Regions from separate parts of the Mus musculus genome. Here region 1 is reported to be linked to region 2. Evidence: microRNA targets listed by miRTarBase, many of them from high-throughput screens and not tested one by one. Region 2 holds a microRNA gene; the other region holds the end of a gene's coding sequence.
What was found. Region 2 holds the annotated microRNA mmu-miR-5128 (CAAUUGGGGCUGGCGAGAUGGCU, at 10,205-10,227, shown strand). A microRNA usually pairs through its seed, bases 2 to 8, with sites in the 3' UTR of a target mRNA and lowers its output. Matches are read on the target gene's strand: a 7mer-m8 pairs with bases 2 to 8, a 7mer-A1 pairs with bases 2 to 7 and ends in A, and an 8mer does both.

Region 1 (16,386 bases), not on the chromosome of region 2:
GCTTTATCTCCACGTGACTGAGAGGAAAGCAAAGGGCAGCCTGTGGGTGAGGTAGAGGCCAGAGGTCACTGCTGTTTGGAGCAGTGAGGAGGCACAGCTTCTGGCAGTGGGGCAGCTCTGCCTGCTTTACCTTGACTCTGCCTAACTGCACTAAATCCCACGTCATCATCAGGTGGACTTTCTACCACCCACCCCTACCGGCCCCCGATGGTCTTGGGTGGGTGCCTTCACTCAATAGTTCCTTTTCTGAACAAATGCTTTAACACTGTCGATCTTTCCCAGGATGCCCTTCTACCTCTCACGGGGATGACTCGGGCAAGTCCGAATGAGCCCATGTGGGTGACCTGGTGACATAAAGCCTAAGCTAAAATACCAGAAGGGCATCCGTTCGCCTCTCACAAGCAGGGAAATTACATGTGCTGAAAAAGAGAAAGCATTTCCTATAGGGAGAATCAGACAGGCAGGCAAGATGGCTCAGCAGGTAAGAGCACCTGCAGCTAAGTCTGAGGATCTAATTCAATCCCTACAATCCACATGGTGGAAGGAGAAAATCAACCTCTACAAGTTGTCCCCTGACTGCCACATGTGAGCCATGGCATGCATATACAGAGAGATAGGTATGCACACACACACACACACACACACACACACAAATGGTTGGGGCTCAGAGATTAAGGGCACTTACTGCTCTTGCAGAAGACCCAAGTTCAGTTCCCAGTACCCAGAAGGTGGCACCCAACAGTCTATTCCAAGGGATCTCACAATCTTTTGGTCTCCATGGGCACTGGGCATGCACGTAGTATACCTACATACAGGATACACCATGTGGATGTTATTACCCTATACATGCAGGCAAAACACTCATACAGATAAAGTAAATATAAATAAATCTCTGAAATTCTTTTAAAAGTAATGAGTATGGAAAAGCAGAAGAGATCAGATGAAAAGAGCAGAAGACTTTCTATCTTATATTTATAGCTACGGGACATAAGTGCGCACAATACCTAAAAGAGCTGGAGAGTCCAGTCTGAAAACACTTGTTCTACACTCACGGAAACATTAGTAAAACCCACTCTTTCTTCCAAATCCAACTCCTGACATTCATAATCTCCCATCTGCACTCAAATTTCAAGTAAAAATGTACCCATATTATTTCACTAATAGAATAATTCAGATCACTATAAGACTGGAGCCAAGTGTGAAGAATATTATGTCTAAAAGCTGAAGAAAATGTCCATAGCTATGGGATTGCAAAATGGTACGAAAAACAGGACAGTGGGCCTCAAAATACTAAGCACACATTAAGACTCCAACCTAGCGATCCACATCTGCATGTGCTCAAAAGAACTGAAGCAGGACACAGGTAGCTCTAAGCCCATGCTCACAGAGCTATTCACAACAGGTAAAGATGAAAGCAACCCAATTGTCCATCAGTGGACAAAGGGATAAACAAAGCGCAGCTCATATATCCAGTGAGGTACTGTTCCATGAATGATAAGGAAGAAAGAAACCCTGGCCTGCGTTACCATGGGACTGAAGCATGAAGACAAGATGTAAGCTAAGGAAAGCAGACTAGCCATAAAAAAAGACAGATACTCCCAAAATTCCACCTAGGTGCCTAGAGCCTCCTCATGGAGAGAGCAAATCTGGTCATTAAGGCCTGGGAAATGATCAAAGAAATGGGGAGGTCTTACTGTTCAATGGATGTAGTATCTCAAGTTTGCAAAGATAAAATGTTGTAGAAATGAACTGACAGTGTGGTGACTTCAATGACAGTGGCCCCAGAGCTTAGTATATTGGAATACTTGGTCTCTAGCTGAAGAAGCTGTTTAGGGTTAGGAGGCGTGTCCTTGTTGGAAGAGGTGTATCACTGGAGTGGGCTTCCAGGTTTCTGAAGACGATGCTAGGCCAAGTCTCTCTCGGGTCTCCAGCTCTTGGATGAGATGTGAGCTCTCACCTACTGCTTTACCCCTGCCTGCCTGGTACCCTGTACTCCACCATGATGCTCGGAACTCAGCCTTTGAAACTGAGTGAGTCCTAATGAAATGCTTTCTGTTGCATTACCTTCATCCTGGTGTCTCTTCACATCAATAAGAAAGTAACTAAGACAGATGTTGATACTGGGAAATATAAATGTATTTAATGTCATGAACTGTATGTTAATAGTGGTTTAAAAAAACCTTTGTAGTATATATTTGCTGAGAGAGAGAGAGAGAGAAGGAGAGAGAGAGAGAGAGAGAGAGAGAGAGAGAGAGAGAGAGAGAGAGAATTTGGTTTGGTTTGGTTTTTGAGAAAGTATTTTTCTGTGTAGTCCTGGCTGTCTGGAAACTTGCTTTGTAGACCAGGCTGGCCTCGAACTCAGAGCTTCACCTGCTTCTGCCTCCCAAGTGCTAGAATTAAAGGCATGCACTATCTCGCCTGGATGTCACATAAATGTTTTCCAGAGGGGCAAAAAGAAAGCTGGCTTTAGTCCCAGCACATGGGAATAAGCAAGCAGATCTTTGTGAATAGGAGGTCAGCCTTGTCTACTCAGTGAGTTCTGGGGACACGAGTGATACATGGGAAAACCTGGTTTCAAAAGAAAAAAAAAAAGTTGATATAGACCAGCCATAAGTCAACACTTTTAGGAACTGATCTTGCTCAAATGACCGTCTAAGACATATTTGATTTGGGTCTGTTTATTTTACCCTTGCTTTTGGTAATCTTATATAGCTACTGAGGTTTTGCCATTATCTCTGCTGAGAATGGCAGGCAGGGAGAACGAAAGCAAGTTCTGGTTCTAAGCAAGACCAGAACTCTCTCTGTTCAGTTTAAGAAGCTGTGATCAAGTGATCTTATAGAAGGCCCCTTGCCAAGTTATGACCTCACCTCTTTGAGGAAAAAAAAAATGAGACTCTGTATGTAAGCAAAAGCAATTTCACCCAACACACATGGCAAAGTCCATCCTGTGACACATATTTAAACTCCGGCAACTCCCTCAGGACTCATTTGAGAATAAAGATCATAGCTAGTTTTCCTAAGGAGAGTAGTGAGAAGTGGCTGGATATGGGAATTCCCACTTACCCTTTTGCAACTGTCTCAAAGAAATAGCTCAAGGGCTGCTGGGCCCAGATATAACAGGACATTCAAGAAAAACTGTAATGCAAGGCTGAAAATGTCAGGCAGCTCAAAACTGACTATAATCCAGCTCTGCGGAATCTATCACGCTCTTCTGACTTCTGTGGGCACGTTACTGACATACACATAACGCACAAACAAACACATACACATAATTAAAAATTAATTGTTAAAAGAAAAGAAAAGGCAACAGGACTAGCCCTGACCTTTCGCCATCTCTTCTTCTCAAACCCTGACTGCATAACACTCCTCACTAACCAGAAGCCTAGTAAAGTTGGTCTTTCATGTCCTTGTCATAGCCAATAAAGCAAAACCATCCCTACATGAGCAGTTGCGCCTATACAATTACAATGAGTTTTTTTCCTATAAACTACTCTGTAGAAATGAGTACTTTCTCAGCTAACTAATGAAACAGTTGTACATAGTCAATGTATTTATAAAGGGATGAATAAGTTCAGGCAGGGTTAAGCAAATATTTAGAAACATAGAAGAAGGGTTTGGCTCGAAGGAACCAAGAAGGAAATGCCTGGTTTCCTCTCGCTCTCTGGAAGATTCCATCTGGCAGTGTATTTTCCAGGTTGAGCACGCAGAACTGGTTTTCATAGCAAACACTCTGCTGTCCACAGAGCACAAAGTATCAGAGATGAACTTCACCCGCAGTGAGCTCAGATGTGAGAGATTACAGTCAAACCTTTCTCCTCTGCACTAGCTGTATTTTCCCAAGCTAAAATTTCACCTTTAATATCAAGGCTGACTGAGCAAATGTTCTAAGAACATTCCTCTAAATGGAACATGTAAACAAGGGATCAGAGAACTGCTTAAGCAGTGAGTTCCTTCTTGAAGGAGTTACAAGGTTTGGCTGGAAGGGACAGAGGGTTTGCTGTACAACCACTTGCTGTAGCTCGACATTCCCCACTCCTCTGCCCCAGGCATCACACATTGTGACAGAATTTTGACCACATGGACAGTACCCACCCTGCCATCAGGAGCCTTGCCAGACCTTTGTAGGCTCACAGCTGGGCCATACACGGAATGGAATGGACCTATTCAAAGGGCTTTGCAGTAGATGCTGAGACACCATGAAATGGCAGGTGTTTGTCTGCAATCAGAAACAAAAAGGGATCACAGCAGCATCCTAGGAGAGTCACCACCTAGGCAAAAAGAAAGCCAGATTCATTTGACAGGGAAGCCCCAGCTCTTGAAAATGTATGTCCTGACTGGCTAATCATTTATTATTTATTGTTCACTTATATAATCCTGCAATTTCATAGTCCTAATGATTCACCCTGGGGTGTGGGAGCACATGGGTAGGAGAATCACGTTAGGTCTGGATACAACACATCTTAGGTTAGTATACTACAAAGGCCAACAAAGATGGTGATGACCCACAGAATTATAAGGAATTCAAATGGTAACCCATGGATGTTAGAACTGAGAAAAATCTAAGGAAAGTGTCACTAAATTTGGAGTGCATTCCCTGTTTGTAAAATAAATGCTGACTTCTTAGGCTATTAAAAATAGAATAGTCCCCCCAAGACTGGAAGGATATGACAAGAGCAATATTAGAACCTGGGTCATAGTTACCAGTTCTCATGGTGGAGAGAAGAGGTGAAGGAGATAGCAGGACAAGATAAAGCCAGAGGTATCAATATATCTAGCGATCAGCTGCTTGGTGAACGTTGTTTTGCTGAGGCTGACTATGATGAAGAAACCTTGACATTATGTCACGTGGCAGCCTTCAATGCCCAGGACAAAGTCACAGAAACAGGGAAAGGACTTGAACCAATTTCTTAAGTCATGCAAGGTCCAAAAGAAACATTCCCTGACTTTTTGTAAAGGTTAACTTCCGTTGTAGAAAGCAGTATAACAGCTCCATCAGCAAGAAAGGCAATAATCGAGTCTTTAGCTTTTGAAAATGCAAATGTTGAATGCAGGCAAGGTCAGCACCAATAGATGAATGGATTAGATATACAATTGATATTAGACCTCGTTTATCTGATACGACCTTAACAGAAGAGGCAGACCACTGAAAGCAAATCTAAATAAAATACAGAAATGAAATGGAGGAACTGGTGGAAGCCAATGTTTTATAAGCAACTAGGTTCTTTGAACATGGGCTCCACAGGAATTCTGCGATTGCTTAGCCTGGCATATGGCAATGTAATGTCTTTGAATTGTTTTAATTACCAAAATGCAGAAAGTTATGTTTGCGAGTTATAGCATTACAAATCCTCTATAAGAGAGGTCAAAATAGAGCAAACTTAAAGAAAAAGGAAGCTGCTAAATTGAATCAATCTATATTTTTGATGACTTTGGGTTGCTGGACCAAGGGCATGCTATTTTGGGGAAGAGGCCCTGTATTTGTGTTAACAGGAAAGAAGAAAAGGCTTTGGACCCCTTCCAAAGTGATATGGATCACACATGATAGGGGAAGACCCCCTAAAGATCTTGGCTACAGACAGAAAAGAAAAATTCAAGAAGATCAAACAGGACAGGTAACATGATTTGCTGATTCCTCCACATGGGAACAGCCCTGTAACTGGCTTAGATATAAAAATGTCCCTAAGCTAAACCTTCAGCTAAAATTAACCAATAAATCTTGTTGGTTACAGAATCCTTAAGATCCATCATGCCATCCTTCACATGGGATGAGTGAAGATTTATTACAATTAGTTGTTGATCAAATTAGTTCATAAAAAAGACAGTTGTCTTTCACCTGCTCCAACAAGGGGCAAAAATTCATCCTTAACTGCTCTGTGCACCTTTCACAATCCATACAAGTAATAGTATTAAAAATCGGGTTGTAAGATTCATATTGCAGAATGAAACACCAAGATACATCTCTGATGCTGAAATGACCTGATGCTCAAGTTCCCTGCTCCAGATGCTGTTTCCAAAGACTTGCTTCCATAACAGCTTCGGGAACAGCTGTTGAGTCCCGATGACCTTGGTACATTCAGCCTCTCGGACAGTCAGAACCTCAGTCAAGTACAGAGACTGGATAACTGATGCTAAAGCTAGTTTTCTTAAGTCTAGCTGAGTTTTTTCCAATTTTCCTAACCCTCCCCACCCCTTAAAAATTACACACACACACACACACACACACACACACACACACACACACACACACACACACACACTTATATATTCCTGCCCTTATTCAGCAGGAAGAAGCCAAGGAGAGTCATCATTCCTATTATAGATAGGTTGTCATTTAAAAAAATAATTTGGAAATGGTCATAATTTTAGACAGGGAGGAAACTAAATCGAGAGCTTAGACTTGGGTTTTCTGTCTTTCCATTCCACTTCTCTGTCCATACTTAGGTAAAGGGAAAGAGGTTGAAAGAAAAAAGGAGAATAGAGTAACATTACAAGAAATTAGATATATGGGGATGGATTACTAAATTTATTCTTTTGAGGATTTTTCTTTTTATTGGACAAATTTTACCCTTAAACAAAGAACTGAATAGCCATAATTTTACACTGATATAAGTCTTTACATATTTGATTTAAAATTGAAGTTATATTTTCTTACCTTAGTACAGAATAATATTGGTACAGATTCAAGGTTTTCATTCATATAAATCTTTGTATATTGATACAAATTTTAAAATATTTTTGTGTTAGGCACTGTGTCTATGCAACTCATTTAAGATTATAAGACTTAGACCCAGTCCTTTTAATAACTGGTATTACAAATATTTAGGATGATTAAGATGCAAGTTAATAGTGAGACTTATGGTCATATTAGATTCTAGTTTAGTTAATTGCAACAAGTGGTTTCAAGATTTAATTAGTGAGTAGCTAAAAATAATCAATGTTTGACAATTCAGTTATGATATACATATATACGTATATATATATGGTCTTCAACCGTGTCAGAGATTCACAGCATAATGGCATTTACTGTCATGTCATTACTAAAGATCACTTGACTAGATATGCATGCTCCTGATACTATACCCATTCCACTTCAAGGAAGATATTAAGCATCATTACCTCTATGTGGAGTTGCTTCAATTGTGTCAAGGTAGCCACTGAGCAAGAATTGCCCCAATTCATCTGCAGACAAAAAATACTGTCCAAAATAGGCCAGAGGTGGAGTAGTCGACTGCTATCCTCTGCCAAGACAGAGTAAGCCAGTCCTCCATAATTCCTGTTTTACTTAAGGTCAAATGGTTATGGGTCAGAAGGATAAAGATAGATGCTCCAACATTATATAAAATTAATGGACTCCAGGCAGCCAGCTGTCTCTATAAGTTGTATAATTTTGGAAGCTATGTCTTTATGCTTCCTACATATATATTTAGGTAATATTTAATTCCTTCTCAGATCTCTGAATGAGTTGAAGACTGGTTATAGTCTCATAACTGAAATTAAGTTGTTTAGCATTAAAGAAGTTCCAGATATGAAGGGATGGATGTCAGATGGTAATACAAGTTAAAATCAACATAATTCAGGCATGGGATTATACACGTTTTAAGTTAGGATATATGATAGAGTGCTTTATCTAAATTGACAAATATGATGGACTGAATGTTAAGTATATAACTTATAATTTGCATAATTGTTATAGTTGCACTAAATTTATATCTGAGAAAAAAAGAGCCTTTTTTATTGGACAAAAAGGGGGAAATGTTGTGGGCTGCCCTGGTGCTGTTTGTATTCTGATGTTAATTCTCTTTCCTCAAGAGGGGTTGCCCCGAGTCAGGTGATCTCATGTGACCCTTCTCCCTGTTTTAACTGATCAATAAAGGCTAGAGCGTGTGATTGGGCAGTGGAGGAGAAAGGTGGGACAGGAGGTCTTAGAGAGGACAGCATGTGGAGAGGGAGGAGAATGAGAACACAAGGAGGACGGAAGAGGAGGAGGAGGAAGCCATGTTGGAGCAGAACCACTTGGTCAGGGGAAACTGCAAGGGGTCTTATAGCTGGAGAATAAGTTAGAGAATAGTGTTACATCTGCCCAATCTACAGCTTAGAATAACTGGATTGTGTGGTCTTTATATGGGCTTACTGCAATTGTAAATCCCAGCAATAGGTCTGAGGCTAGCCTGGGCCATAAAGAGGTCAAAATAAGTCTGGCATACATAGGAAGACCCTATCTCAAAAGACAGAAACCAAAACAAACAAAAATGCTCCCCGTGGACAGATCCTAATTTAAAAAACAAAACCAAAAACAAATCTAGTGTGTGTGTGTGTGTGTGTGTGTGAGAGAGAGAGAGAGAGAGAGAGAAAGAGAGAGAGGGAGAGAGAGACAGACAGACAGAGAGAGAGAGAGAGAGAGAGAGAGAGTGAGAGAGAATGCACAAGTGTGCAGGGGCCTGAGGGGTCCAGAGGTATCAGATCCCCCTGTAGGTACTGGAGTTTCAGACCATGGTGAGGCATTAAGGTAGGTGCTGGGAAAGGAACTCTGGACTCCCTCAACAGCAGGATGACTTGTTAATAGCTGAGACGTCTCCCCAGGCCCCTCAGACCCTGGTTTTTAACTGATTCCAATAAGGCCATTGCAATTAGAGCAAAAACCAAGTTATAGGCGAGTTCTCTGTGCAACCACCTTTCCATTTGCAATCATTTGTACCAAGAGTATGCTAGGATTCCTTAGAACCTCATCGGGTATTTTCATCTGCAGCTGAATAAACAGAAAAAATACAGGAAAGAAAACAAGCCTTCAACACTCTCCTTTCATGAGTCACTTCTCTCGTTTTACAGCATAAGCAGTTCTGCCCAGGTGGCCATGGTGCTCGGCATGACACCCTAGAAATAGCGCAGTTCTGCTTCTGGGTAAGACTCACTAGCAGCAGAGACACAGATGCCCCAAGGTGCATTCCTCTGTACCATTTACCAACAACCTCTTGGTATAAACTATCGATCACCAATAATGTTTCACATTCTACTCAGAACCACAACAGGAAATTAACTGTCACTAATGGAAAAGAATGTGTGTATACTCTCTCCATATAAATAGAAGTGGCTTCTTCAAATAAATAAAAACACCTTTTTCATTATGCAGATGATAACATTAGCCAATGAACTTGTTCAATAAAGCATTTGAGGGCCAGCAGATTATTCAGTAGCAACAGGACTTGCCATCCAACCTGACGGCCGGAGTTGGATCCCTGGGACCCATATTGTGGGGAGAACCAATTCTTACAAATTGTCTTCTGACTTACACACACACACACACACACAAATTGTTTCTTAATTTAAGAAAGGATTTGGGCTGGTGAGATGGCTCAGTGGGTAAGAGCACCCGACTGTTCTTCCGAAGGTCCAGAGTTCAAATCCCAGCAACCACATGGTGGCTCACAACCATCCGTAACAAGATCTGACTCCCTCTTCTGGTGTGTCTGAAGACAGCTACAGTGTAGTTACATATAATAATAAAATAAATCTTTAAAAAAAAAAAAAAAAGAAAGGATTTGGGAATAACTTCCAAAAGACATCATTACTGGGGGTGTATTTCTAAGGCTTGGTTAAACACCATCTTAAGGTATAATAAAAGGCTATGGAAAAGCAGAAGGAAAGATGCCTACTTGCCTTGTCAATGTTTCTAGTACCTTCTTTGATTTAAACACCCATATACAAAGGAAGGTTTTCAGCTTTTATTTTTTTAATGTAATATACAGAGCCACAAACACCATTTCTCTCTCAACTTATGGGAGGTAGTACATTCAAATATATTTAGATTTGACAACTTGCTGTCACAATACCAAGAAATGTCATTAAAAAGTTATTTTTTGACAGGCGATGGTGGCACGTGCCTTTAATCCCAGCAATTGGGAGGCAGAGGCAGGCGGATCCCTGTGAGTTCAAGGCCAGCCTGGTCCACAGAGCTAGTTCTAGGACAACCAAGGCTACACAAAGAAACCCTGTCTTGAAAAAAAAAGTTACTTTTTAAAGATAACCAAATATCTATTTGTTACATGGGCCTGGGCCAATGTATTGACGGCAAGTTGTTTACATATACAGTGTTTTGAACTTCGTATTTTTTTTTTTTACATCAGATTATGTAGATATATGCTCTATCTTCCTCAAATTCATCCCATTTTGAGAGCTGAAGATGTTACACACCAAAGCATTTCCCAAATGGTATCTTCCTTTGCCCTTGACTAAAAAGGTCAAAAACTAAATTTCATTTTCCTAAAGACACAGCTATTTCTAGAACACAGGGATGCAATCCTGACAGACTACTAGAACTAAATTATCACTTCTGTGCTAACACTTTTCACTACAATGTAGCTTTTCCAAAAGGCAAAAAGTATCAGGAACATAGATTTCTCCTAATGAACTGAACACAACAGAGTCTCTTCCTTTCTGGATTCATAAAACATCAACTGTCTTGGGTGGGAGCCCCAGTGCTCTGGGTAATTAGACAGTGAGATGAAGATCTGGGGTCAAATATCATCTACCCAGGGGTGCCATACACAGTTTACAGCAGGTAAAAATGCTAAGAAAGGCCACGGTGGACAGTGCCAGACACCAACAACAGTAGATTACAGGGACCACTGAGGGCCAGGGAATATGGGGAACTTCGATTGCTTTTTTAGCAATGGAAAGAAAAAAAAAATGTCTGGAGAAACTTAAGAGTAAAATTTTTAATTCCATCGTTGACATAATGTGGTTTTCAGATACTGCTTCCTTTGTCGTATGAACAAATTAGTTTAATTTGAGATTAGAGAAAGAAAACAAGATCAACAGAGGAAAGGTCTTCTTTGTCTTCTCGTCAAAGGAAAGCACTCGGGTTGGCGCGAGGGTCTTTCTGGTTCCGGTATCTGTAGGTCAGCCAAACACCCAGGATCTGGAATTAGAAGGACAAACGAGTTTTGAATCGATTTAGTCGATGAACAGAATAAATTAAACTTCTGAGTTCCTTTTGCTTGGTTTGTGTGCAAAGACAAGATTCAGGCAAATCAAAGGACAGGCACTACCAAATCTGAAGTTTGAACACTGTGTTAGACTGCATGCTCCTTCCCCATGCCTGGAAGCTGCAGCAAATGTTTCTGTACGAGGTGAAAGGCCTTTGAACGTGTGGTCATGTTAGGGAGAGGTTATCCAGGTGGGCTCAAAGGCGCAGTCCCTGTGGTGCTGATAAGGAGGAGGTGGGCTCAAAGGCGCAGTCCCTGTGGTGCTGATAAGGAGGAGGTGGGCTCAAAGGCGCAGTCCCTGTGGTGCTGATGAGGAGGAGACAACATGGACACAGGAGAGACACAGGGATAAGATGTGCTTACCAGGCACATTCCACACGGCAGCTTGACTTGTGAAGTTGGAAAAGCAAGCTCAACTTTTCCATTCTGATAAATAGCCAAATGTGAACTTTGCATGGTTTTTGCATTTGTCTCTATTGTTTTTAATTTTGTGTGTGCACATGTGTGTAGGAGTGCCCCCAAGAGGCATTGCAGCCTCTGTTACAGGTGTCTGTTAGAGGTGACTGTGAGCCACCTGACCTGGGTGCTGGGAACCAAGTTTGGGATATGAACATAAATCTTCCTCTCGGGGACAATGTCCTAAGCAGCAGGCACCACTAATCCCTGAGCCCTGTCAAATATTTTTAGTAACAAAACTATCTAGAGTTAGTTATTAAATCAAATGTTGGTCAATTTTTCTCAGATGACAGGATTTAATTTATTGTTGTGTTGTTTGTGTGTGTTTGTTTGAGAGGCTCTCACTATGTACACCAGGCTAGCCTGGAACTCAGAGCAAACCACCTGCCTGTGCTTCCAAAGTGCTACGATTAAAGACATGCATCAGCGACCGCAGCTTACCAAAATCTCTTGACCATTCCCATACTGTGCCTTATTTTATACCTAGAAATACATCCCAAGGGGAAAGTGGGGTGGAAGGGAATGACATTCCACACACAGGAGGCAACTGTGTAAATATTTATACATCAAAATAAATTATGTGATCTGCCTGACTCAGCAGGTGGAGGTCCTGGCTAGAACCTCATGACCAAAGCTCCTTGATGCATTCCCAGGACCCGCATGGTAAAAGGAGAAAACAGACTCCCAAAAGCTGTCCTCTGACCTCCGCACATGCACTCTGGCACAAGTGCACCCACACCAGGTAAATACACAAGTTTAACTTTTTAAAAGGTGGGGTGAAGTGGCTTGGAAGGTGAAGCCTGTGTTGCAAAGCCCAATGGCCTGAGTTCACCATTCAGAAACCATTTATAAGGGGGGATGGGAGAACAAATCCCAGAGGATGCCCTTGTGTTCTTGACACGCCCACTATGGCACATGCATGTTGCCCCCCAACACTCATTCAATGAAGAAAGGTAATTTTTAAAAAAGAAAATCAAATGGTCAACAGATTAAGTGATCCATTTATGGTTAAATTCTAACCATATAAAACAGAATTTTTGCAATTTTGTAAAGACGTATGTTGCTCTTGTAAGTAGCCTACTATGCCTCTATAGCTATACATGCAAATTCTACTAAAAGAATTATTTGACTCATACTCTTCTGTTATCTATTTAAAACAGAAGTGTGACATGGACATTTCATGTGTCAATAAGACCCACTGTCTTTTTTCCAATAGGGCATAATATGTCATATATTAATAAATTTATTAATGGCTACAAAACAATAACTAGCCCCCCATACACCAAGTACTGCTCAAAGCATTCCAGGTTTTACACCACTGGCTCCTTTAGTCATAACACCGGGAAGCGACTGCCTGTTGTTATTCTTCGAGGTTGAGATAGAAGATTTGAAGGAGCTATGTGAGGGCTAGCAAGATTACCTTGCTCCAGAGGCCACAATTAGGAAGCAGGTGCACTCAGTTTCCAACCCTGCTTCCTGTTCTGCTCCTATGTCAGACATCTTGACCCAACTAGCATATTGTCAAGAAGTAAAAGGTACCCAAATATTATAAAAAAAAATAATGCCCTGAAGGCTAGAGAGACTGCTCAGCAGTGAAGAGAGTACTTGGTATTCCTGCAGAGCACTGGAGTTTGCTTCCCACGTCTAGTGACTCACAACCATCTGCTCCTCCACAGCCATAAGTCCTGACGCCCCCTGCTGGCCTCCCCTGACATCTACACTCATGTGCACATACCTACTACACATAGACACATATTCATATATATAATTAAAAGTAAATCTTTATAAAAGTTGCTTATAAATAGCCTTGTGTGTCTATTTTATGTTGTTATACAATTATTTCCATAAAATAAAGTAATATGCATGGATTTTTTTTTTTAGTTAAAACAGAATTGTTGGCAGATCAGACCTTTAATACTAGCACCCAAGAGGCTAAGAAAAAGGGAATATAAGACCAGCAGGGGCTATATAATAAAACCCCAGCTCAAAACCAAAATTTTGTCTTGATACTTATTACCAATTCAGTATTGTAAATTTAGTACAGCATTCTGGTTTTGTTTAAAAATATATAAAATTTACTTGTTAGTAAAACATATTAACTTAATATAAACATATACAAATAATAACAGTAGTTACCTGTAGGTTTTAGAAAGGTAGTAATAAGAAAATGGGAGAAAATTTCACAGTGATTTTTCAATGTTGAAAGTAAAATAATTTTTACACTTCTTTTATTTTTACTTTTATTAATATTATATAATACATTCATTTCCTTCTTTTCTCTCTCCAAACCCTCCCATATTATCTCTTTTAAATTCATAGCATTTTCTTACATTAATTGTTACTGCATTGCAGGGCAGTGGTGGCGCACACCTTTGATCCCAGCACTCGGGAGGCAGAGGCAGGCAGATTTCTGAGTTTGAGGCCAGCCTGGTCTACAGAGTGAGTTCCAGGACAGCCAAGGCTATACAGAGAAAACCTGTCTCGAAAAACAAAAATCAAAACAAAACAAAAACCTCAAAAAATTGTTAATGCATATATATACATTTATATATATATATATATATATATATATATATATTCCTAAATATAACCTTCCTAATCCATATACTATTATTTCTGTGTATGTTTCAGGATTGCCCATTTGGAATTGGATAATCAATTAGTCCATGTGGGAAAGACCACCTCATCTCTCCTGCTCCCAATTTTCCTCAGCTACCAGCCTTTTTTCCCCAAGACAGAGCTTCTCTATGTAGCCCAGGCTATCCTCTCTAGACCAGGCTGGCCTCAACTCAAGAGATCCACCAGTCTCTGCCTCTTGAGTGCTGGGATTAAAGGCATGCACCACCAACATCCGGCAACAAAGGCAATTCTTAAAAGCAATATGTATAGTGTATATATTATATGTTAACGTATATTAACATTTTTAACACATTATATAATTAACATATATTAACACGTATTCCTTAATACAAAACTTAACTATAATTTATCGTGTAACTCTAGAAAGAAAAGTCCAGAGTTACTCCACACTAATCTGATTTCACTTATTATAATTTATACAGGTCCAAACAGATCAAGAATGTCACCCCCATCATAAAGTTCATGCCAAATTTCTCAGACGTTCAGATTCTAAGCTAAGGGTGCTCCCATCACACCAAGTGATCTCAAGGAAGATGAGCACTGATACCTTTCGAGTATCATGTTTGATGCTGAAGTACAATGCTCTGTCTTCTAGTCATACAAAACTGAACTCCGTATGAGCTTTAATCCCAGGCGAGGGACATGGGGCTGCTTCAGACTGTCCACAGCAGCTGGCTATGATTTACCTCATGCTCTAGGAGGGGAAGCATGGTTCTGCAGCGGCAGACAGTTTCTGCGAGTATATGACATCTGAAATTCTAGGGACTTTACAGAGGGGATATAAATGCTAGGGCCCCAGAGGCAGTGTGGGTTGTTGGTTGCTGTGGTTGTGGTTTGTTACGTAGCTGTGCACAAAGAAACGATAAGAAGAAAAAGTTAGACATCCTGAGGGCAAAGATCAAACTTGCCCCAAGGAACTTGATGCCCTGATCAGCAGGAAATAGTCTAATGATAATGTCACTGATAGGTATTCTTCTCTGATGAAATGAGCCAATTCAAGCTGAATTAAAGTATAAAGGCAGGTTCATTGGGGGGAAGTTCTCAGGCAGGTTCACCAGTCCCAAACAATAAGGCCTGGAAGTCGCCAGAGAGAAGGAGACAGATGGGAGGATACAAAGAAAGGGCAGAGATAGGGAAAGAGAGGGAGAGGGGGGGAATGAGGGAGGGAGAGAGAAGGTCAGGGAGAGGGTAAGGGAGAAGGAGAGAGGGGAGAAAGGAGGGAGGGAGACAAAAAAAGTTCTGGATTATATAGGGAGGAGCTTCTGGGGGAAGCCTAGCCCCTGGGATGCAAAGTTCATCATAGAGGGCGGGGTATCAGCCATGACAGGGCCCGAGGGATGCTGGGAGAACCTGGAGGCCTGGTTCACATTGGTATGTAAAAAATGCACCTCAGCTGCTTGTCCCAAGTCTGAAACCAAAGTCACCCCCTTTCTCCTCTGTTCTTTTCTTTCTCTCCTATCTAGTATTGGAGGGTTAGAAGGGTAAAATAAAAAAAAAGGTGGGGGGGATCGAAGAAAGAAAAACCCACAAAGTAGCCAAAGTCCAGCTACATACCTCTGTAAAACTGAAGAAGAGACCAATGCCACCAACAAACCTCAAAACCTCTCCAGCATACTCTCCGATTATGGGGGCGCACGAGGAGCACTTCTGGGTACTTTTAGCACAGCTCTGTATCGATAAAAGGAAAGACTTGTTACTTCAGCGTATGTTCACAACCCGTCGAAATTCAGGCCTAGAGTGCTCCATCCAGTTTGGGTATAAATTTTAAATTGTGTGCAAGTTTCTGAGATGGTCAAGTCCTGTAGATGCTCTGTAGGACCCATCGGTCTGTCCCCTTCTAGAGCCTGGGATAGGATTGGTAGATGTCTAGATTGCCTTGTGTAAGATTTTGGTCTAGTACCACAGATTCTCCAGTAACTTGCTTGCATTGTAAGTGATACCCAGCTGTGGTGATCTGAATAAGAATGGCACCCCATAGGCTCATATATTTAAATGCCTGGTTACCAGGGAGTGGAACTGTTTGAAAGGATTACAAGAATTAGTGGGTATGGTCTTGCTGGAGTAAGTATGTCACTGGGGATGGAGCTTTGAGGTTTCAAAAGTCCATGCTAAGTCTAGGGTCGGTTCATTCTCTCCAGCCCCTCCCCCCCCCCAACACACACACACACACACACACACACACACACACACACACACACACACAATCTGCCTGTAGATCCAAATGTAGCTCTCAACTACTTTTCCAGGACATGCCTGTATGCTAGGTTGCTCCCCTCCACAGTGAAAATGGAAAACCTCTCATACCGTA
Region 2 (16,386 bases):
GCCCTGCCACTGACTGGCTCCATATTTCTTTTATCCCTGTGGTCTTTAGATTGATCAAATATTTGTATTGGTCATTAGCCTGGCAAGGTGGCACATTCCTTTACTCCTTACACTTGGGAGGCAGATCTCTGTGTTAGAGACTAGCTTGATCTATCTACATAGTGAATTACTCTGTCTCAAAAATTTTGTCATTAGATAAGTTTGTTGTGAGGAACTTGGAAGTGAGAATTTTGTGCACACCAGTGGGGATGTCTTTTAATTCATTTTTTGTCATTGTTGTTCTACTGTGTAGTTACCTTTCCTCCATTACTTTTGCAGTTGAATATACTGTTTATTTGAATTCTGCTGTAATTGAAGTATGCTGCAGACATTAAGTTTTAGCTTAAGTCCAAGATTCTTTCTAAACATGATTTTTAGAAGCATTACTTTCCCAGTTTCAGAGCTTTTCTTTTTTAAAAAAGTATTTTGTCTTTATTAATTTTAAGTAATAGTGTGTGTATGTGTGTCTCTGTCTGTCTTGAGTGTAGGTTGTACAGAGGCGAGGAGAGTATTGAATCCACTGGAGCCGGAGTTGGACAGTTGTGACAGAGTGTGTGCTGCAAGTTAAGTTGGGTCCTTTGCAGGAGCAGTATGTATCTGATCTTATCTGTTGAGGCATCTCTTTAGCTTTTTATTGATGGGCAGTATATGTTCTGCCTAAAAGGGAGAAATTTGTAAAAATTTAAAGTCTTTTCAATGTTGTCCTTAGTTATAAAGAACCTACTTACAACTGCCAAAGCAAACATGTAAATAGTGAATTGCTTTATTAGACATTAATTTGCTTTGGTTGTGATAATTTCTGTCTTTAATAGTGGTCTTACTGTACCAGCTGATCTGTTTACTGGTTTACTGTCTGATCTAGGACTTGTTACCTATCTTACTGCTCTTCTGTTTGAAAGATTGGCTTTTTAAAATTAGTTTAGCTATTGAAAAACTTTTTTGACAGGTAGAGATGAGTAACTTTATACTATAATTTTATGAAAGTTTATTTAGAAATATTTATACATATAAATTAAATTTATAGTCACTTGAAACAATGAGATCAGATTAGTGGTGATCTAACAAATGGTTTATGCTCAAACCTGTTAATTTTAATCTAGTTTTGAGTTTGTACACTGTATAGTGACTTGACCAAAAAATCTGACTGGTCACTTTCATTCATAATTTGAATTATTGCCCTACAAGTCATTTAGGTACACTGTATTTAGGAAGTACAATTCCTGCTCTACAGAAGACTTTATTTATATGTGTGCAGATGTATGAAGGAAGAAGCTCTAAATTTTTGTTATTTGGTATTCAAGTTCTCTCTTAACATAACTAACACTGTATACACCTGCTTTCTCTAGTTAACTTTAGCACCACTTGAAAGGGTATAGTTGATTATATCACAGCATTTTGTGATTTCATGGTTCCTTTACATGTGAAAAATGAGAATTCTACAGTAAATTGTATACTTTCTGAGGTGTTTTGGGTCATGAATAGGATGTAGTTTGTTACAGCACCTGCAGAACTTCTTTGTATTTCCCAGATGCTAGGCTTTGTACATTTCAGTGGCTTGTTGGGCAAATCAGAAATTTATGAATTTAACCAGCTTAGTCCTGTTGACATGCTAACTAGTTATTGTTCAAAAGGAGCATGCCCTCCTGCCCTCCAATGCCTGTTTTAGAGTGCCATTGCTAAACTTGCATTTACGTTCTAAGGCATGTTTTATGCCAGACCTAAAATTTCTTAGGACTCAGAAATACTGTGTTGAGTAAAGAACAGATCTTTACTAGATAGATTGGCCATGAAAGCTGTAGCTTATGAAACTGGGCTGTGGTGGTGTGTGCCTTTGGAGGTAGAGGCAGGCAATCTCTGAGTTTGAGGTCAGCCTGTCTACAGAGCAAGTTCCAGGACTGCCAGGGTGACACAGAGAAACCCTGTCTCAAAAAAGAAAAAGAAAAAGCACACCCTCCCCAACCAAAAAACCAAACCCAAAACAAACTATAGCTTGTGACTTTGGTTATGTTTAGTTAGTCTTACTGGAAAAGTCCATTTTAAGATAGTAAGGCTGTAACCTTATAGTAGGTGGTTTATTTTTGAAAGTTAAAATGGAGGCAGTAACTTAAAAAAAAAGGTTATTTTTGTATGTGTGTGTGTGTTCATGGTGTGTTTGTACTGCAGTGGTGTGTTGAGGTCAGAGGACTAACAACATGAGAGGGTCTCTTTTTCTCCTACCATGCAGGAGCCAAGGCTTTCAGATCATCAGGAGGCAAGGAGAGCCTTTACCTGATGAACTATCTCTCTAGCCATGTTTTTTTTTTTTTTTGGTAGTGAGACAAGGTCTCATTCTAGCAAATCTGGAACCTACTGTGTAGCCTTGATAATTCATGGTAGCCTTGAATCATCCTGCCTCAGCCTCCTGAGTGTTAGGATTACAGAAATGAGCTACCACATCTGGTTTTGATTTTTGTTTTTGAGGAGACAGGGTCTCGATACTAGGCTGGCCTTGAAGCTGGATTCTCCTACCTCAGTTTCCCAAGAAGCTGTCATTACAGTAGTGTGTGCTTGCTGCCTTTCCCTGCTAGCCGGTGTTCATGTGTACTTGTGTCTGTAGTTCAAAGAATTTTGAAGCTAATCAATCAGCACACTGACTTACTGGCTTTTGTGCAGCGTAGGCCATCTACATCTTAGCCTTTTGAGGTTTTAGATACTGAATAGCTCTGAATTACACATCTATGGGTAACTGGTAATTTCAGTTAGCAAAGCTAGTGAACTAAAGGGAAAGATGGTTTAATTTTTGTGTAAGCTAGCACTAGGGAGAATAAACAGTGTAAGCCATCAGTGTGTGTATCTCTAGTTTTTGTGAACTGTGAGGTCAAGGTTAGCATGGATGAGTAGATACCACATGTATTAATAATGAAGGCTTTAAATGGTGTTTTATCTGCTAGCTTTTTGATAAACAGAATTATATAAAAATCAGCTATATTTGTTATAGATTTCATATTAAAAATTGGAAAACATCCTCTAGTTTACAGTTAGAGTGGAGATTAAAGAAGATACTTGTTGTGATGGGAGAGAAAGTTCAACTTTTAAGAATAGTTGTTCTGTAGAGAGAAGATCCAGGCTTGGTTCCCAGCACCTACATGATGGTTACCATCTGAAAATGGCCAGTTCCTGGGGAATCCAGTAAGCTGTTTTGTGAACTCTGAGGGCACTGGGCACTGGGCACACATGTGGAAGTAGGAAAAATACCAAGACATATAAAAATAAAATCTAAAAATAAAAAAATTTATGTTATGAAACATACAATGCTTTTATTTTATTGTTTTTTTTTTTTCAAGACAGGGTTTCATTATGTAGCTGACTGTCCTAGAGCTCACTATGTAGACTAAACTAGGCTGTCCTTAAAGTTGAGATTTGCCTGTCTTTGCCACAAGTGCTGGGATTGAAAGATGAGTGCTACCACCATCTGGCTATAATGTTTGCTTTTAAAGGAAGAATTAGGTACAATATAAGTTAAGGTCTGAGAAGCAAACTCGGGGCCTCTGGAAGAGTAGCAAGCACTTTTAGCTACTGAGCTGTCTCTCCAGCCCCCAAGTTTAATTTTTATTTTACCTAGTAGCAGCATTTGGCATGGTGGATGCCTTGCCTATGGAGGTTAGAAGAGGCTTTGAAATTGAACCAGCATCCTCTGGAAGAACAGCCAATGAATGCTCTTAGCTATTGAGCCATTTCTTTAGTCTCTGATCTCATGATTTTTTAAAAAAATTTTTTTTATTAGGTATTTTCCTCGTTTACATTTTCAATGCTATCCCAAAAGTCCACCATACCCACCCCCCCAATCCCCTGATCTCATGATTTTAAGTGCCCAACTTTTCTTTAGCTTGGAACTTTGGGCTTCTTATAGCCCACTGCCAATGTGATATTTCCCACTTACATGCCTTCCCTCCCCCCCAAAGACAGGGTTTCTCTGTGTAGTCCTGACTGTCCTGGAACTGGAACTCACAGAGATCTACCTGCCTTCTTCTGAGTGCTGGGACTAAAGAGAATGTCCCACCCACTGCTTGCTTACGTGCTTTATTGACTTTTTTTTTTTAAGATTTATATATTTATTATACGTAAGTTCTCGTTACAGATGATTGTGAGCCATCATGTGGTTGCTGGGATTTGAACTCAGGACCTTTGGAAGAGCAGTCGGGTGCTCTTCTTACCTGTTGAGCCATCTCACCAGCCCCACTTTATTGACTTCTTAAAGTGAATTTTTTTCAGACCAAATTTCCAACTTTTGCCCAATCTTTGATAGACTATAAATCTAGCTAATTGATTTTGAAGATTTCTGCTAAGTTACCTGAGTGGTCAGTGGTTCAACTTATTTCACTAAATCTGTTCCAAACTTGCTCCATAGTGTAAAAACAGTTCATATATTTTCAGTGGCTGGATATAACTCTGAACTCTCCTTTACTGCTGCTTCACTGGCTATAGGTATCTAAGTAGTGTCTGTCTTATTTGAAGTCAGATGATGAGAATCCTTGACTACTTTGTCAATATGAAGTTACTGCTTATTTGAATTAAAAAGTTTGAATGATAGGCTATATATATTCCTTTTAAACTAAAAGTTACACTTTTTTTGTGATAGGCTATATATATTCCTTTTAAACTAAAAGTTACACTTTTTTTTTTTGTTTTGTTTTGTTTTGTTTTCGAGACAGGGTTTCTCTGTATAGCCCTGGCTGTCCTAGAACTCACTTTGTAGACCACGCTGGCCTCGAACTCAGAAATCCACCTGCCTCTGCCTCCTGAGTGCTGGGATTAAAGGCATGTATCACCACTCCCGGCCAGGTTACACTTTTTTATGTATGTGTGTGTTTGTATGGGTGCCCTTAAGCATGGTGTGCATATGGAGGCCAGAGAACAGAGTAATCTATTCTTTGCTTCTACTATGTGGGTAGTACTTCTTCTACTCTGGAGACCTTTTTTTCCCAAGTGCTAGGTAGGATTACAGGTGTGCCTCACATATGCAATAGATTCTTGACTTTCAGTTAAGCATGCTCCAGGCTTAACCTCGCTCAAGCTTCTGATTTACAAATACAAAGGAGTAACCCAGGAGTGTTCTTTTCTTGAAACCTCTCATACTTTCAGGAGAGGTTTTCCTTATTAAATCTATTTTCTTTGTTTTAAAAAAGAAAAAAAAGTTAGAAATAAAGACATTTGGATCAGAAAATCTTCATGACATATCACTAGCATTGATAATGTTGAAAAGCAATAAATATTTTTCCTGAAAAGTCATTTAAAATGAACACATACTTAGTACATTCACATGGCCAAGCAAACTTTGTTATGTAGTTTGAAAACACGTCTGTTATTTTAAGGTAAAAAAAAATTAAGCAGTTTAAACCATTAGAATTATTAAAAAAAAAAAAAAAAGGAAAAGAAAAGAAAAAGCAGGGTGTGATGGCACATGCTTGTAAACCCCAGATCATCTGAGGCAGAGGCAGGTGGATCTCTGAGTTCAAGGTTAATTTGGTCTGTATAGCATGCTCAGGCCAGCCAGGGCTACAGAGTAAAGTACTATTTCAAACATGAAATAAAACCAAGCAAGTAAACAAACAAATTTTGCAAAGTAAAGGTGACTGTTGGAAGTTTTGTATTAGAGATTATCCACTTTTGGTGCTTTACTGCTGTCTGATACTTTTAAGGAATAAAGAAAATCTTTCATTTGCTATTTAATAGTGGATGTATTATACTTGTAAAACTTTATAGAAGAGTCAGTCATATTAATACTGATAGCAGATATGCATTGTGCGTTTCTCAGTCTTTACTTTTTCAGAATGATTACTGTTTCCCAGAGGAGAAAACTAAAGCTTCAATAACTCCTGATTGATTAATTTCAGAATTAAAATCTATATGAATTTGCCTCAAAAAGTTGAGTCTCTTTACTAAACCTGGGAGTGAGATGGCAAAAACAAAAAAATGGAGGAGTCATCCTGTATGGGGGATTAAGTAGTGCCTTAGAAGATGGTGTGTTTGCCTTAAGAGCTCCTCAGACCAGGAGGGAAAACAATATAGGAAGCAGCTGTCAGAACTCTTATTAGTCATTAATATAGGAATAAGAAATTTGTAGTGTAGTGTCTGAGGTTTGTTTGCAGACATTATCCACCCTGCCCCATTTATGTCTAGTGACTGTTATTTAAGTTACAAACTTAAATAAGTTTATATACAGAGTGCTTAGAGTAGACTTACCAGTATTGGAACTTGTTTCCAGATTTAAGATATTTATTTACATGTGGGTAGGCTAGAAGACAGACAGCCTCAGATAGAATCAAGAGATTTATCCACTTCCTCTAAGATGATTTCTTATTGGTCCAGAGCTCATCAATTAGGCAGGACTAGTTGGCCAGTTATTAACCTTAGGGATCCATCTGCCTATTTCTCTGTAGTGCTCAGATGACAAGCAAGTGCCACTATGCCTAGCCTAGCATTTTTTTTTTTTTTTCTCCTCTGAGTTCTAGGGATGGAACTAAGATCCTTGCATTTGGAAGGTAGGTGCTTTTACCAAATGAGCCTCCTTAATCCCTCGAAGAGTTATAGTTCCTATGAAGAATCGGAACAACTATTTTTTAAAAACAGTCTTTGGGCTGGAGAAAGAATTAACAGTTACGAGTGCTTGCTGTTTTTTTCAGAGGACCTGAGTTCAGTTTCAGCCCCTGTGCTAGATGGCTCACAACTGCCTGCAGTTACTTGTGTATACATACACACACACTCTCACATGGATTAAACTAGACATGCCCTCATACTGTGTTTTGAAGACTTTCAAAATAACATTTCTAGCCTTGTTTTGTATGTGTTTTAAGAATTCTCTTATTTTTAAAATTTGAAAGAACTTCTCTCTCCCTCCTTCCCCCAATTCCTCCTCCCTCCCTCCCTCCCTTCCTCCCTCCCTCCCTCTCCCCTTCCTTCCGTCCCTCTTTTATGTAGTCCTTCCTGGCCTGGAACTCACTTTTGTAGACCAAATTGGCCTTTAACTCAGAGATCCTTTTGCCTCTACCTCCTGAATACTGAGAGTCAAGACTTGCACCACCATGTCTGGCAAGAACTTAAAAAGAAAAAAATTATGTGTGTGTATAATAATTGTGTTGAATCCCCTGGTTGTAAGCTGTCTGAGGTGGCTTCTAGGAACCAAATTCTAGTTCTTTATAGAGCGGTTAGTGCTCGTAACCACTGAGCCATTTCTTCAGCCTTTAAAAGAACTTTTAGTAGGTTTGTTTTCACCTATTCTTCTGAAGCTCCTTGGTAAGTCACCCCACAGAATAGGCAGTTGTGTAATATGCTTCAGTATACAGGGTTTGGGGTGAAAAAGGATATAAGAGCTTCCTGGATCCTTTGGATAGGTTTTCTTTTCCTTAAGATTTTATTAATTTTATGTGTGTATTTGCCTGCAGATATATGTATATATGCACCTTGTGCACATCTGGTGCCTTCAGAGGTTATAATTTCCTGGAATTGGAGTTAGGGTTGTTATGAGATCCATCCTTGTGAACTCTGCTTCTGTCTCCTGAGTGTTGGGATTAAAGGTGTGATCCACCATGCCAAATTGTAAATTGGATTTTTGAGGCAGGGTCAAGATTATTCTCAGAATTGTGGTGATCCTCCTGCCTCATCTTCTGTAGTTCTGTGATTACAGATGTTAGTTGCTATGCCCAGCTTTCACCTTCCCCCCCAGGGTTTCTCTGTGTAGCCTTGGCTGTCATAGAACTCTGTGCAGACAGACTGGCCTCAAATGGAGAGATCTGTAGCTTTTAGAGACAGAAAGCCTCAATTTTGGTAGTTTAGACAAAATCAACATTGCATAAACTAGTAAAACTTCACTTATACAGTGTCTTTACCCTTTCTCTCTCTTTTCTTTTCCCTCTCTTTGTTGTGGATGTGTCATTGTGCCAAATTCAGTTTCCTGCAGCTTACCCTTCTTTTCTCAAAAATATTTAGCAAATGTCTCCATGTCTGCACTGATAATTGTACATTTACTTCAAAGGATAATTGGTGTTAAACAAGCTGATGAGGAGGCATTTGCCCCTTAGACCAAACCCTATATATAATTCAGTGATAACTGTATCATGGTAATGTTGTTTACCACCCTTAGAGATGTCTCAGTGATCAGGATGCCCAGCCCCCCTCGCTACCACTCCTTTTTTGAAGTAATTTATTTCAGTTTATGTTTCTGAATATATTTATGTATACCATGTATGTGTGTATGGAGGCCTCAAGAGGGTATCAAGACCTCTGGAATTGGAGTTACATATAGTTGTTAGCTCCCATATGGATGTTGGGAATTGAACCCTGGTTGTCTGAAAGAACAGCTAGTGATCTTAACAGCTGAACCATTTCTCCAGCTTCAAGGATACCCAATCTAATGTAAAAGAAGGAAAGTTTGGTTGTTTGGAATGAATGAAAAGTATATACTTCATGGTAATCTATTTTATGATAGTGATTAATGATAAACCATGGAAAGCTATATTCTGGCCTATTAATTTTCTCATTAATATTATATATATATATATGTATGTGTATATATATATATTTTTTTTTCTAGTTCAGCAAAACATACCAAAGGCCTTTTTAAAATTGTGGGGTTGAGGTTATGGGAAATCAATCTAAGAATATTAGCTGTGGAGGAGACTTTGGAGATCAACCAGGCTACCCCCCCACCCCCCACCCCCCCCTTTTTGTTTTTTTTAAAGACTTTATTTTATGAGTTCACTGTAGCTGTCTTCAGACACACCAGAAGAGGGCAACAGATCCCATTACAGATGATTGTGAGCCACCATGTGGTTGCCGGAGATTTGACCTCAGGACCTCTGGAAGAGCAGTGCTCTTAACCCCTGAGCCATCTCTCCAGCCCTTGGCTAACCCCCTTATCTTGTTGATGAGAAAGCTGTTTCAGAGAAGTAGTGGGTTGGTCAAGGACATAGAAAGTTAAGTGAAGGTTTGATTTCTCGAATCTGTATTGATTTCAGTACAATGAAGGTAACTGGTAAAAGTAGAGAGCCCTGGACTCTGGAGTCACACAGACTTGATTTTAAGTCCAGATTCCACTGCTTATTCCCTGTGGCCTTTGGCAAATAAATCTGTGTCTGTTTCCTGTTCTGTGCTACTTTGTGGGGTCCTGAGAATGAAGAGATAATGTAAATATAGCACTGTGCCAGGCAGGCATTTGATCAGAGCACAGTAAGTGCTGTCTGGTCTTTTTTTTTTTTTTTTTTTTGATTACTTAGAACAGGTCATATGGCTAAGTGATTGTTATCTTTATGAAATAGGATCGATGACAATGCTTTTATGTCAAAGTCCTTCACTGAAAATTTGAGTTGTTGGTTGATTGGAGGAGGACACTGCTCACTGCAAAATGGTCAGACATTTTTATCACCTGCTCCCAAATTGTATGGTGTCAACATACCTGTCTGTCTACCTACCTACCTACCTACCTACCTATCTTCCTTCCTTCCTCTTAGTTTTTTTTTTTTTTTTTCTCGGGACAGGGTTTCTTTGTATAGCCTTTGCTGTCCTAGAACTAGCTCTATAGACCAGGACGGCCTCAAACCCACAGAGATCTGCCTGCCTCTTTCTCCAAAGAGCTGGGATTAAAGGTGTGCATCATTATCACCTGGCTGTCATAGTCATTTTGTTTGTGTATTTTTATATTTTAAATTTTAATTTATTTTGAATTATTTTTATTTATTTATATTTTTGGAGACAGAGTTACTATATAACTGTCCTGGAACTTGCTATGTAGACCCAACTGGTCTTGAACTCAGAGATCTGACTGCCTCTCATGTACTTCCACGTGTGGATTCAAGCTTTTTTTTGGACCCTTTTATACTCTTAAAAAATTGAGGATCTTAAAGATCTTTTGTTTATGTGTTATTATTTATTGATATCTAGAAAGTATATACTGGAAATTATTTTCATTTTATTAAATGAATAATTAAAAAAATTTGTGTGCTTTTAAGAGTGCATGCATGGCCTTATATGACTATGGAGGCTGTTGGAGAACTCCCTGAGAACTGGAGTTAAGACAGTTGTGAGCATCCTAATGTGAGTGCTGGGATCCAAATTTTGGTCCTCATAGTTACAGTAAACATTCTTAATTACTGAGGTCTTTCTAGCTCCTGTTTTACTAATTTAAAAAGTGCAATTGGGGCTGGCGAGATGGCTTAGTGGTTAAGAGCACCCGACTGCTCTTCTGAAGGTCCAGAGTTCAAATCCCAGCAACCACATGGTGGCTCACAACCATCCGTAATGAGATCTGACTCCCTCTTCTGGAGTGTCTGAAGATAGCTACAGTGTACTTACATATAATAAATAAATAAATCTTAAAAAAAAAAAAAAGTGCAATTGATGGTGGGTGGCAGCAGTAGCTGTGGCGACTACAAAAAACAAACAAACAACAAAACTCAGGAAAATTGGGTGAGAAAAGTAGCAGTTGATTTTTACGTTTTAATTTAGTATAGCTTAATAGAAGATCTACTTCTGTGTTTAGTCTGTTTTGTTTGAAGTATGTGAAGATGAACAATTTACCTTACACAGATAGGTAGCTAGAAAAGACAGTTTCTCAGACAATTTTAGATAATTTAATACTATCTAGTATTTGAGAGATGGTAGGCTTTTAAGATTTATTTAAAAAAAAATATGAATGTTAGCCTTCAGGAGTTCATGACTATCATGTACATGCATAAGTCCTCAGAGGCCACAAAGAGGGCATAGGATCCCCAGGAACTGGAGTTATATATAGGTGGTTGTGAACCGACATGTTGATATTGGGAACTGAACTTAGGTCCTCTGTAAGAATGGTCAGTGATCTTAACAGCTGAGCCCAGGCGTTAGTTTTTTTTTTTTTTTTTTAATATTATTTATTTACATGTACAAAACAGATCAAAGTATGGATATTATCAAAGTCCAGCTTGGTGAACAAATGGGCTTTATTGGAGTTACTTACAGGAGCAGAATTGACTCAGAGTCAGCTGCATCATCAAAGCCCACCCCAGCACAGGTGACATTTTGCAAAAGCTGGGAACCTGGAGCACATTGCACAGCCTGTAGATTACTCAATAGGTTTCATAGTGTCCTTTCCAAGTAACTCTTGTCTAAACCTTGTCTAAGCAGCTCAGCTGGTTTCTGCGACTTTTAGGCAGCTGGTCTGGTCTCAAGAGTCTTTGCAGCTTAGCTTCTCAGAGTCTGCTTTGCACCACAGCTTCTTGTTTAAGAGTGACTTTAAAGTTTTTATTGCTTAATCTGGCAGGGAGGGGCCTAGTGAATCTGGTCAGTTTCAGGGACTTCCTGAGGCTATTTTGAGTTGTTTACTTTTCCTGTTTAAAGAGCTGCTCAGAAGGATGGAGGAAACTTATACTGTATCCTAGCATTAGAACACACTCAGGGGCTGTTACAGTTCTTTTTCAGATCAGTAGTATCTCTGATACACTATTTATACAAAAACATGTAGGCTTCTTAATATTTTGGGTATGTTGAGGTACTGTGCTAATCTACTTCATGTATATTGCATATCTATGGCATAAACCTCACCATTAAGTAACAAAAATATTTCTGTTTTAATAAATAACACTGAGGTGTGCAATGGCTAGCTGTTCAAGTTACTTCTGAGAGAGAACAACAGAAGTAGAACTGGGAATTATATCTATTCTGTTCTATTTTCACGATTGCCTTTTTACTATTTTTTTACTTAGAGAATAAATTGAAGGAAATATTTTTTGGATTGTAATGGAAGTTTTGCTGTTTTTGAGGGATAGCTGTGTGTGGGAACATGTTAATTTTAAACATACCAATTAACTTAATTCCAAGGCTGGATGCTTTACAATATCTGTCCATCCATCTCTACATCTCTACTTGTGTATAAATGCTCTTGTGGAAGCCAGAGAACAACTTTTGGTAGTTGGTTCTCTCCTTCCACTATGCTGGTCTCAGTGACTGAGCTTAAGTTGTCATGTCTGCTTGTATGTACATCCACTGAGCCATCTTATTGGCTCCTAACACTGGTTTCAAAAAAGTTAAAAGGTGCTTAATTCATTACCTAAGAAAATTATGGTAAAATGGTAATGTTAAAAAAATTTGAGAGCCGGGCAGTGGTGGCTCCCGCCTTTAATCCCAGCGCTTGGGAAGCAGAGGCAGGTGGATTTTTGAGTTCGAGGCCAGCCTGGTCTACAGAGTGAGTTCCAGGACAGCCAGGGCTACACAGAGAAACCCTGTCTGTAAACAAACAAACAAACAAAACTGAGATCTCTTTTCAAAAGTGACAGCATAGAGTATTTATAAGGAGCAGTTTGTAGGCTTATACAAATGTTTTTTTAGGCCAAGCAGTCCCATCTAGTAGCTTTGCCTCTTGATTGAATAATATGGTTATAGTCACATTTGAAAGACTATTGTGGCTTACAAAGCTTGAGGAAAAAACTCATTTGTACTGGCAGTCAGCCAGTATTTTATAGGCTACAATTTTCCTTAGAAAAACTGGTGGTTTGTAGCCCCATAATTTGTGGTTGTTCTGAACTTGTAAAAAGAGTACACATTTAAAAATGACCTTATTACTTTAATATTTTAAGTGACATCTAACTGTCAGATATTTGTTACATTATATTATTTATTTAAATAAAATTTCCTGGCTTGACAATCTCCTCTAAGGCAATAATTTATGTAGCATGATTAGGTCCTCCCATCCCCCATTCCCAACAAACCTAAAAATCAAAAATGCTTTCAGTAAAGTCACAGGCACAATTAAAGTAAAAAAGATGTGTCTGTGTTAAATCCTGTGTTGGTAAAATCCTTGTAGAATCCCTGAGATCTCATTACGTACCCACTGCTTCCTGGATGTGTTGAATTAAGTTGTGGTATGTGGTTTGTTTGGGTTTGTTCAGTGTTCTTCATTTTTAAATTTCTCTCTCTCTGTCTCTGTCTCTTTCTTTCTGGCTTTTTCCCCCGAGGCAGGTTGTTGTTGGTGTGTGTGTGTGTGTGTGTGTGTGTGTGTGCGCGCACGTGCGCGTGCGCGTGCAATTTTGGCTGTCCTGGCTCAGTAGACCAGGCTGGCCTCAAACTCAGAGACAATCTGTCTCTGCCTGGCAAGCTGGCATTACACTACCACTGCCCAGCTGTTTGTGTTCTGCTGCCGTCACTGTTGCTTTCTCCCCACACAGATGGAAAAGAACACCATACCTGAAATACACACTTGATATTCATGAAAAATACAATTTTAGTGGTTGGTGAGATGGCTCATTGGTTAAGAGAATACTAGCTGCTCTCTTCCAGAGGCCCTGAGTTCAACTCCCATCAACCATGTGGTGGTGGCTCACAACCATCTATTATGGGATCTGATGCCCTCTTCTGGCATGCAGGTGTGCATGCAGATAGAGTGCTCATATACATAAATAAATAAAACAAACAAAAAAAGAAATACTTCCCCTTATGTACTTTATTGTAATGGTTGTGTGTTAAATTTATGGGAATAAGTCCTTTTGATTTTAGGCTAACCAAATGGGGTATAATATCCTTTCTGTTTGAAAGATTTTGACAAGTCAAATTAATAGTTCCATTTTTATGTCCATGGAGGTATCTTCGAGTCTTTTTGTTTTTTGAAGACAGATGAAATTTGTAATTAAGATTTTAGCAAAAATATTAGTAGCTAGATCTTTAGAAACTGTTGATAAGGTCCAGGGTCTCTCTCCTCACCAATATTGTCTAGGCTGACCTTAAACCCTGGGCCCAACTCATCAATTCTCAGGGTTTGAGAGTTTGCTTTTAAAATGTATTCTATACTCTCTAGCTCTGGGGGCTACTCAGTCTCATTCTTGATTGAACACTGGAATTACTTGGAAGATTGGAAAACCACAGATGCTTGAGTTTTGCTTTTCTTGAGGGATTGTTATTTAATTGGTCTAATATTATGGTATCTAAACATTTACAGAGTTTATAGGTAATACCAATGTGAATCAGAGGCTGAGAATCCAGTTTATAAGCCCGTTTAAGGGGGAAATACTTGATTTCAGAGGATATATTATCACCTTTAGAATTTACAAAAGTTTTATTTTTGAGATAAAGTGTCACATGCTGTTACATAAGAAATTATAAGTCCATTTTTGTGATGTCATCATTTTAAGAATGTTACATAAATGGAATCCTTTAGTATAGTGGTTTTCCAGCTGTAGGTCCTACCTCCTTTGAGGTCAAACGACCTTTTCACAGGGGTTGCATATCATATAACCTGGATACCAGATATTTACATTAGGATTTATAACTGTAGTAAAGTTATAGTTATGAAGTAGCAATGGGATAATTTTATTGTTGTGGTCACCACAATATGAGGAACTATATTATAGGGCACTTCACATTCAAACCACAACAGTAACATCTCTAATTCATAAAATTTATTGGGCTCTGCTGCTTCTACCTCTACTGGAATATTGAAATGGAATTATACAATTTTGAAATTATATGCAATTGTATACAAATCAAAATGGAAATATGCAATTTTCTTTGTTTTTTTTTAGACAGGGTTTCTCTGTTCTAGGTACTAGAATATAGTGGTGAATAAGATAGACATGATTCCTTCTCTCTCTCTCTCTCTCTTTCCTTTATGGTTTTAGAACTTTATTGGAGAGAAGGTAGAAAGAGAGAGAGACTGGTCATGGCCATGTGTGGGGGGGGGGGGAGGGAAAGAGGAAAGAGAGAAGGAGGGCTAGAGAGTAAGAAAGATGAGGGCTTAAAGAGCATGATTCCTTCTCTTACTGACCTTAACATTCTAGTGGAAGGGAGGCAGGAGAGCCCAATACATACAATGTATTAGTGAGGTACTATTGTTGTTTGAATATGAAGGGCCCTCCATAGGCTCATGTATTTGGACACTTGGGTCCCCAGCTGGTGGTGCTATTTGGGAAGTTATGGAACCTGTAGAGAGTTGAACTTTAATGAAGGAAATATGTCATTAAGGGCAGGCCTTGAGAGTTTATAAAGCCTGTCCTCATTTTCTGCATTTTCTCAGCTTCTAGACAGCTGATACCATGGGCTGGACTCAAACTCTTGATGCCATGCCTTCCTTGCTGTGATGGACTGTATCCCCTTTGGAACTGTAACCCAAATAAACCCTTTCTCCAATAAGTTGCTTTTGTCACACTATTTTATCACACTAGCAAGCAAGTAATTAATATAGTTACTGTGCTTGTGGCAAAAGTTACCAAAAGATAAGGATGTAGAAAAACAAAATTTAAGTGCTTTCTGGAAATGGAATGGAATTTTGTGTTCAATATTGATAATGCTGACTAGGAGAAGAACAAATGGTAGTGAAAAAGTAGGATGTAATTTGTTAGAAAATGAGCTTAGTGATACTTGCTTTGATCTCTTCATAAAGTTACATCCTGTGGGGTTCCTGTTACTCCTCCACCAATTCATTGACTTGATAATATTAAAGAAAATGAAGGGTTCTTTAGGTTTTAATGTGGCTTGAAAAAATGTGTGTGTGTGTGTGTACACACACGTACGTACCTACTTACATGTGGAGGTCAAGTGTCTTCATCACTTTCCTTATTTTTAGAGACTATTTCTCACTGAATCTGGGACTTATTTTTTCAGCTGAACTGGCTGCCAGTGAGCTTCAGGTATTCATTTGCCTTTCCTCCTCCATAGTTGTGTGTATTATAGAAATGTGCTAACACTCTTGTTTTTTATGTGAATGTTGAATTTAGGTCCTCAAGCTTGTGTGGCAGGCACTTTTACTGACTAACTTACCTTCCCAGCCTTCAGTTAATATTTAACACTAAAGTGGTTTTATTTAGAAAGCATCACATGTAGTCCCAGCACTTGTAAAATTGAGACAGGGATTGAAGTTTCAAAGCTAGCTTGAGATCAGTTGGGGCTACGTAATGAGAACAGACTGACTTACCTGGTATCTTATCTCAAAAACTAAAAAACAGGCTGGAGGGAGTCATGGTTGATTTGCTGCTCTTATAGAGAGCCTGGGTTTGTTCCCAGAACTCAAATGATGACTCACAACCATCCATAACTCTAATTCCAGGGGATCTGGCACCTTCTTCTGGTCACAGGCACCAGGCATACACATGGTACACATACATACATGCAGGCAAAATACCCCAATACATAAATAGAAACAGCCGGGCGTGGTGGCGCACGCCTTTAGTCCCAGCACTCGGGAGGCAGAGGCAGGCGGATTTCTGAGTTCCGAGGCCAGCCTGGTGTACAAAGTGAGCTCCAGGACAGCCAGGGCTATACAGAGAAACCATGTTTCGAAAAACCAAAAAAAAAAAAAAAGAAACAAAACAACAGAAAAAGCATCAAGATGTAGTATATGTATAACTCTGG

Region 1: miRTarBase lists Tspan13 as a target of mmu-miR-5128. Seed matches in the 3' UTR shown: 7mer-m8 at 9,892-9,898.

The regions. Positions count from the first base shown.
Region 1 is chr12:36,004,858-36,021,243 of GRCm38, forward strand. It overlaps Tspan13 (tetraspanin 13), which reads right to left. Exons shown (of 6, transcript NM_025359.3): 5 at 15,633-15,746; 6 at 9,698-10,915. The coding sequence ends at 10,841. Among named protein-coding and RNA genes, the nearest start is that of Agr2, 20 kb to the left of the region's middle.
Region 2 is chr2:37,682,053-37,698,438 of GRCm38, reverse strand. Mir5128 (microRNA 5128) reads left to right here and starts at 10,155; the gene lies at 10,155-10,238. All of the region lies in intron 1 of Strbp (spermatid perinuclear RNA binding protein), which reads left to right.